Linked DNA regions of Sus scrofa. The protein of the gene in region 1 purifies or fractionates together with the protein of each later gene. This does not show direct contact. Links are inferred from orthologs where the notes say so. Each region holds a gene or a part of one and is shown on either strand. Other genes may lie near its edges.

Region 1 (4,259 bases):
CCAGGTTTGAGCTAGGAATGTGTCAAAACCAATGGAGTACTAGCAAACAGGTGTTTGCAAAGTGCTTTTGGGAGTTCCCGTCATGACTCAGTGGTTAACAAATACGACTAGGAACCATGAGGTTGCATGTTCGATCCCTGGCCTTGCTCTGTGGGTTAAGGATCCGACGTTGCCGTGAGCTGTGGCGTAGGTTGCAGACGCGGCTCAGATCCTGTGTTGCTGGGTCTCTGGCGTAGGCCAGCGTCTACAGCTCTGATTAGACCCCTAACCTGGGAACCTCCGTATGCCTCGTGGGTGCAGCCCTAGAAAAGACAAAAAAAAGAAAAGTGCTTTTGTATTGGGGTTCCCCTCCTGGTGCCGATTTTGGAACCCAGCATCACAGGAAGACAACTAGGCTAGCTTGCTAGATACGGCGATACATGTTTCACTTGCCTCTGTCCATTAGCAGGCATGTGAGTGAGACCACCTAAAATCAGCCTCCCCCTGCAAGCTGCCGGCCAACCAGCTATATGAGTGAACGCAGGCAAGGACGGAATTACTGCCCATTATGAACCCAGGTGCAACTGCCAACTTGCAGCATGATGAGCTATTCATGACTGCTATGTTAAGCCCTGGCATTTTAGGGTGGCTTGTAATGCTGCAAAAACTAACAGACACCCCTCTAGAACAAGCCTTTTCTTATGGAGGCTCTGATCACGCTACGTCTTTGCTTTAAAATGCTTTAATGGTTGTTCATTGATCCTGGGATGAAACACAAGTCATTTCAGCGAGGCCTGCGGTGGCCCACATCATCCAGAGTGCCTCACCTCCTGGTATGGCCCCACTCGTGCTGCTCCTCAAGGGGTCCCGCATATGCCATTCCCTCTATCTGGAATGCTCTTCCTGGCGCTTTATCTGGTTGATGCCTGCTCCTCTTTCAAGTCCTAACCAAGAGAGGACTTCTTTGACCGACTCTTCTCCTTTGCCCCCCCAACTGAAGTATGAATCCTATTACACAGCCTCACACTACTTATTGTCCTCCTTCCTAGCAAATACCCTGATAGGAAACAAATACATTGTCTTGTGTGATGGTATGTTTATTAGCTACCTTTTCCACTGGACTGTAAATTCTAGGAGAACAGGGTGTCTCTGTTTGCTCACAAATGTAGCCCCAAACCTTGCACACCACCTGTCTCATGGGAATGTAGATAGATTTTTTTTTTTTTTTTGTCTTTCTGTCTCTTTAGGGCCGCACCTGCTGCATATGAAGGTTCTCAGGCTAGGGGTCGAATCAGAGCTAGAGTTACCAGCTTACGCCGCAGCCACAGCAATGAATGATCTGAGCTGCGGCTGCAACCTACATCACAACTCACGGCAATGCCGGTTCTTAACCCACTAAGCAGGGCCAGGGATCGAACTGTGTCCTCATGGATGCTAGTCGGGTTTGTTAACCGCTGAGCCACGATGGGAACTCATTTTTTTTGAGGTAGTTTATCATAGTGGTTAACTGTGCAGGCTCTACAGAAATGCTGCCTGGACTCAAATCCTAGCTCCATCACTTACCAATCGAGTGACGTAACTGCTTTTTGCCTCAGTTTCCCCATCTCTAAAATGGGGATACAAACAGCCCCTCCTCATTGAATCACTGGGTTGACTGTGCTCAGCAATTGCTAATTATTTCTTGCTGGACAGATGACAACAGACCTGGAGAACGTGAACCTGAAACTTCTGCCACCACCACCATCTCCCTCCTACGTAGCTACAGACGCGGCCATAATGGAATTTACATTTGTCTTCCCCAGAGCTAGTTTCTCAGCCAGTGCTCTGCCTTCTTCTGCAAAGGTGCGGCCCCAAACTCTGAGCCATCTCTCTGAGATGCCCGGTTACATCCAAGCAAACGCCAAGCACGGAGCCCTGGATTTTTGACTCCTGCCTGAAGACCCGATGTCTCCCACAGACGGTCAGACCCTTGGGGTCAAAGGACATGGTCCCCTCACTGGTGTAACCGCCACTCCTATGGCTGGATGACCCCCCTCGCCCCCCGCTGAGTGGGGATCAGAGCCAGCAGACATCCACCCAAGAAACAGTTCTGATGGCCCCCAAGAAATCCATCAATCACACGCAGGCACCTGCACACACATGCACGACAGGAACAGGGGCCACTTGCATTGTCTTAGGGAGCAAACCATCTCAGGAGGGACAGTGAGTACATTTTCAAACACCAAGTCCTCAGAAGCTGGTCCTGCAGGGTCTGGACAGAAAGCACATACAATCTAGGTACCAAAAAATGTGTAAGGGGGGAGGAAAACTCCTAAGAAAAGCAGAGAGACAGAGAGAAGGGGGAAGAGAGGGAGAACGTGGGGCGCGGGGGGGGGTAGGTGAGAAGAGAATATAGGAGGGGAGGGAGGGGAGAGGAAGGAGGTGAGAAGAGAGGCTGAGAAGAGAGACTTAGAGGAGCGAAAAGGGGAGGCGGGAAGACAGGGCGATGAGAGATGTGGCTCCTGCCGCCCCAGCACAGCGGCGCCGCGCTGCGCCCCCAGGAAGCCTGCGTGTCTGGCGGGGCCGCGAGCCGCCGCGTCCCAGACCCGGCAGGCACCTTCCTCCTACGGCGCCCACCGAGGGTGCCGCGCACGCGAACCAGGCAGTGTGCACCAGCTTCGCACAGAACCGCTCCGAGTGCTCAGGAACTTACCAGGCTGCGGGAATGCTGGGGCACCGCTCCTGGGGGCACCCCCCAGCTGAGGGGCCTGGTCTCCAGGTACCCGGTGCTCACAGGTTAGTGGCGGCAAGACGACGGGGTTTCCATGCAGTCAGGCGTCAACCCAACGGGAGGGAGAGCCAGACCAAAAGGCAAAGGAGAGGACGGGAACCTGCTTGTGTTTTTGTATTGAAATTGTTTTTGAGCCCACGTAGCCCTGGGAGTCACATGCTGCCTCCAACATCACCGGAGTCATCACATGATACAGGTCCCCCATCATGTGATGTGGCCAATCTGCCTTAACTTCAGCCCCCCCGCCCCCACCCCCAGCGCCTAGACTGGCAGAGAAAGTGCTTCTGGAGGAGGCCCCCTCCCCCCAGAAATCAGTGATAGAGGGAGGGATGCAGATGGGGAGCCTCGGAGCCCATTGCGACGCTCAGATCTTGAGGAATCGTTAATGCTCCTCTCTCCCTCCTCCCTGGCTACTGCGCCTTGGAGCGGTGCCAGCCTCATTTGAATTCCAGCCTTTGTGCATAACTCAAGTGTCGCCACCATTGCTCCAGCAATTGCAGGGCGTTTGCGCTCACACCATCCTGCCTCGTTCTGGAAAGTCCACCTCGGCTGCCTCCCCTCCCGACAGCGTCCATGTCTCCTCACGGAGCAGTGGGAGTGGGGCGGAGGTGGAGGATTGCGGGGCTGCAGGGGAAGGAGAGACCGCTCTGGCTGAACCTTCTAGTCCTTTTTTTTTTTTTTTTTTTTTTTTTTTCTCCTAGCTGCAGTAGGAGTCAGGTGGGGCCCCGTCTGGCTCTGATTAGGCTGTCTCCTTTTAAAGATCGCAGCTCTCGGCTGTCTGCAGCACGCTGTCTCCCTCTCACTCTTTCTCCCCCTGCCCCCCCCCCCCATCTCTCTCCAAACACGCATTGCATCGTTTCCCTCCTTGATCACGATACAGTTAAAAAGATCTGGGTTAAAAATCTCTGAGGCTTCTTTCCTCCCCTTTGCCATCACCTCCTTTTCTCACTGGTTCCTGCATGCAATCAGTCTTTTATTAAACAAACATTTTTATGGAGCACCTACTATGCGGTGGGTTTTGTGCTAAGCTGGGAGAAAGGAAAAAGGAAGCGAGATGTTAAAGAAACGCCTGAAGCAAGATCCCTCCCATCCTGGAGGTGCAGCAGTGTCTGTCAGAGGCAACAAAAACATCAACAGAGGTAGCAGATGTAAATTTCAGAGGCACACAAATTTGGGCGTGCAAAAATGTGACTCCTCTATTGGTCTACACCCCAATTTTGCTTCTTCCTCCAGCCCCCGCCCCTATTCTGCTCAATATCAGACATTGAGTCTAATTACTTCCAGATAAGCCTACCGCCTCAAGGAATCCTTGACACAAACGAATGTTGCTAAAAATCTAGAAAAAAAGAAGACTTTGGTTGTCGTAGGTTCCAATACTTGGATGATGATGGATTTATCTCCCCTAAGGTGGGTGGTTGGTCTTTGCTGCAGATTTAAAGTCAAATGAAAGTGTGTTCTCTTGTCACGTTCCATTCCAGGGTTGACACCAAGCTCTGACCCTCAAATAAGC
Region 2 (3,649 bases), on another chromosome or scaffold:
GTTTGTGTTCTTTTTCATTAAGCAGGGAAGGGAATGTATATTCATTTAATTACCATGCAGCCAAACTGTAGAATAATATGAAGTCATTAAAAAGAAAGTGTTGACATGGAAAGATCTTTAAGACATTGTTAATTTTTTTGTAATGTTTTTTTGTTAATTTTTTTGTTGAGCCACAACGGGAACTCCTTTTATTTCTGTAACAGAGGAAAAAGTAATATGTGCTCACTATTAAAAAAATGAAGATTTAAGATAAAATTGAAGAAAATAAAAATATGTCAATAACCTCATTATCCTGAAATAACTACTACTAAAGCCTTGATAAATAAATATCCTTCCAGGAGTTATCTTGTGGCGCAGTTAAGGATCTGGCATTGTCACTGCAGCAGGCAGCTTGAGTGGCACAGGTTTGATCCCTGTCCTAAGATCTTCCACATGCTGTGGGCACAGCCAAAATATATATATATTTGCAGAGATAAGGGACATTTTGTGGAAGACATTTAATCCCAAACCAGGGATCATAAAAGAACACCACAGCGGGCATGTTTTTTAAATAAAAAAATAACACAGTAGCATGTAGCTTATTGTCTGTTTTGGTTTTACTTTTCACTATATCTCCAGTGCCTTTATAGTACATAATAGCAGTCAGCAAGTATGTGTTTTAAGCAATGAATGCTAGTGGTCTGCTAATTATTGGTGAAGCTCTTCTAGTTCCAAAACCCAAGATTAAGAAATCATACTTGTTAACTCTTAGAAGGCTGCTGACTGTAGCTGGATAACATTGGGCAGATACCCTCACTGTTACTACTTATAGCTTGGATTAGTACTAGTAACATTTAATGCCACCGTCTTCTCAAGTCTACACCAGGCAGGAAATAGATAGACATTTCGCTAGAATAGATAAGCCTTCTGAGCTAACACAGAAGCTTTGTTTAAGAAATAATACCGAACCATTTCTTATTCTAAGGTGCCCTGGGCTTCCTTGTCTCTTTACAGACCTTGTCTCATAGCCAGAACATTGTTCTGTACATGTAGTAGGGAAGGGAATGAGTCTGTTACCCATGATGAGAGAGATAGATTATAAAAACTGTAATACACTTTTCTGTTATTGTATTTGTCTTCCAGTCAAACAAATCAATTGAAACTGCTTAATTTTGGAATTACCTATGTATATAGATATACATAAAAGGGTAATTTTAACTCTATAAGTAGTTAATTATCATGGAGCCTGAGATCAAGTTTTTCATTTTTTTAAAGGAAACATTAATTTGTACTATGTGTGTTTTTCTTCTTAGTTTCTGCCACTGCCTTCTACAAAGCACAACCTGTAATTCAGTTCATGTGTGAAGTTCTTGACATTCATAATATTGATGAACAACCAAGACCTCTGACTGATTCTCATCGGGTAAAATTCACCAAAGAGATAAAAGGTGAATTAATTAGCATTTGGACAACTTAACTATAAAGTGCATGAATATAACAAACTTTTATTGAAATTCTTTTAAGTTAAAATCTGTTCATGTAACATCATCAGTAAAAGTATAGATTAGGTCTAAAATATCACATTAAATTCATTACCATAACATCTTAGGTAATGTTTCAATGATAGAAATACCAAGTAAAGGCATTCGTATTGATATTAGCTAATTCTTTGTTAATACTTTCCCTTACTAGCTGAAGGTATGAGAATATCCCATGGGAAAATGCTTCTATGATACTGTTGAAAATAGGAGGTTTGTTCCAAAAACTTATTGCTTCATAATTGGAGCCATTCTTTGAACATATGCTAATATAATAATTTCTTTACTTTTCTGAAATGTTAGCAGAATATTTATCCCTTTGTAAATTTTATGGATATGAAGCTAGCCTGTTTCATATCTTGTTCTAGAGTTGAAACTTAGTTATTTCATATACATTATTCAATTGACCATTGATCTTGCCTATTTTAGTTAGTAGCTAAAATTTATACAGTGGTGTTGCATTGTGTGTTTTTTACTAGTATAAATTCATCTCTACATGCTCTTCCAAAGAGAAAAATAAAAAATTAATTTCAGTTGTATTCTCAGATTTATATTTTATATATATTTACTCTGTATATTAGTACCTTTCTATATACAAACACAGTTTTATGTGCAAACCCACATATGCTGTACTTTATCAGCAATTTAAGGGATTTTTCAGGAGTAATGTTGATTGTATAAAGTCCTTGCCTTGTTCATGACTTTAGAACCTAATCCTCACATAAGATGTAACTCCACTGTATTTAGTTCCTTATTATTTAGATACAAAGAGAAATTAGATATCCTCTTAGAATGAATAGTATAAGTTCTATTTATAGTAAGTGTTGCATCTTAAATAGAAATAATTATGTTTCATTTTAAGGTTTTGCCTATTTGTTGCAGGTAATTTCAGCTTATGGTTTGAATGAAGCATTGAAGTTTGTTCTCTGAACATCTTACAGTTCCCCAAATCAATTAGTTTAGCTGAATGCATCCTGCTTGCTCGAGTAATCATTTATTCTTTGTCATTCAGTAATCAGAAGAGAGAGAGTCATTACAATAAAACATTGAAAGGAAAATCTTCCTGCTTCGAAAATAAGCATCCATTTATCTCAAGTTATTTGTTTCAAGAAAGTGTTATGTATTCTTATATTGCAACCATACCATTGTCCTTTCATAATCTGTATTAAATGCAGTTAGTATTGTTGGGAGGTGCATTACCCACCATTAATGTGTGATCATCTAAATGCCATGGTTTCCAGTGGAGTTGCTGCTTAGTTACCACCTCTGATATCATGAAGTCACTTAATTATTTTGCGGTAACTATGCAATCAACTCATATCACCACTCTATCACAGAAAATACAAGATGTACAGAACAAAAGGATTCAACTGCAGCCCGAAGAGCATGGACTCGATCTTAACTTCAACTGCTCAGGGGGCCAAAGAAATGACTGAAAAAATGACTAGAAAGCATTATAAAGTTGATGTTATAGTGAAGGTAAAGCCAAGTTTATAGGTTAAATATTTGATTTATTAAACCCAAAAACATTTTTTTGGTTGGATGGAGGGTTTGGGGAGGGACCTTGGCAGAGAATTATCTAGTCCATTTTTTTAATTTCCAGCTTTTGCTAACCCCTGGATTGGATCTAATCCTTAGGTACCTATGACTACTGATTTGGGGTAGAAAAATCTAAGTTGGATCTAACTGACAAACTGATGTATTTTTTTCTCCAAAGTCAAGAAGGCTTTTCTTCCCTTTTTTTTTTTTTTTTTTTTTAAAGCGGGCTCTTTAAAGTACATCGTGTATTCCTACTTAAGTAATGCAGGAGAATCAAAGTTACATGTTCTGTGCTATAAATTTGGGATTACATTTTAGTTGACATGAGGAATTTGATGATAAACTATTAAATAGTGATAAAAAGTGTTCTGTAATGAGTAGTACAATATTCATTTGGTTCAAGTTGAACTTCTTCCTAAATATTTAATGATAACTTTAGAGTGGTTTCTTTATGAAATAATTTATCATGGTTAATAGCAGAAATATTGGGGGAAGTATATGGTAAAAGTACCATATGTATGTAAGTGTATCAACTTGCTTTTGATAAAAACTTACTTAGAAGGCTTGTAGAACCTTACTGATAATTTTTTTTA

Evidence for each region. The genes of interacting proteins can lie anywhere in the genome.
Region 2: the proteins of TNRC6A (region 1) and AGO3 purify together in Homo sapiens (affinity purification with mass spectrometry; 7 studies listed by BioGRID and IntAct, with this or other methods). This does not show direct contact. The link is inferred for Sus scrofa from reciprocal best matches to the Homo sapiens genes TNRC6A and AGO3.

The regions. Positions count from the first base shown.
Region 1 is NW_018084874.1:820,926-825,184, forward strand, and holds the start of TNRC6A (trinucleotide repeat-containing gene 6A protein), read right to left. Parts: upstream 2,803-4,259; 5' UTR 2,672-2,802; intron 1-2,671.
Region 2 is NC_010448.4:92,154,636-92,158,284, forward strand, and holds part of AGO3 (protein argonaute-3), read left to right. Parts: intron 1-1,292; coding exon 1,293-1,427; intron 1,428-3,649.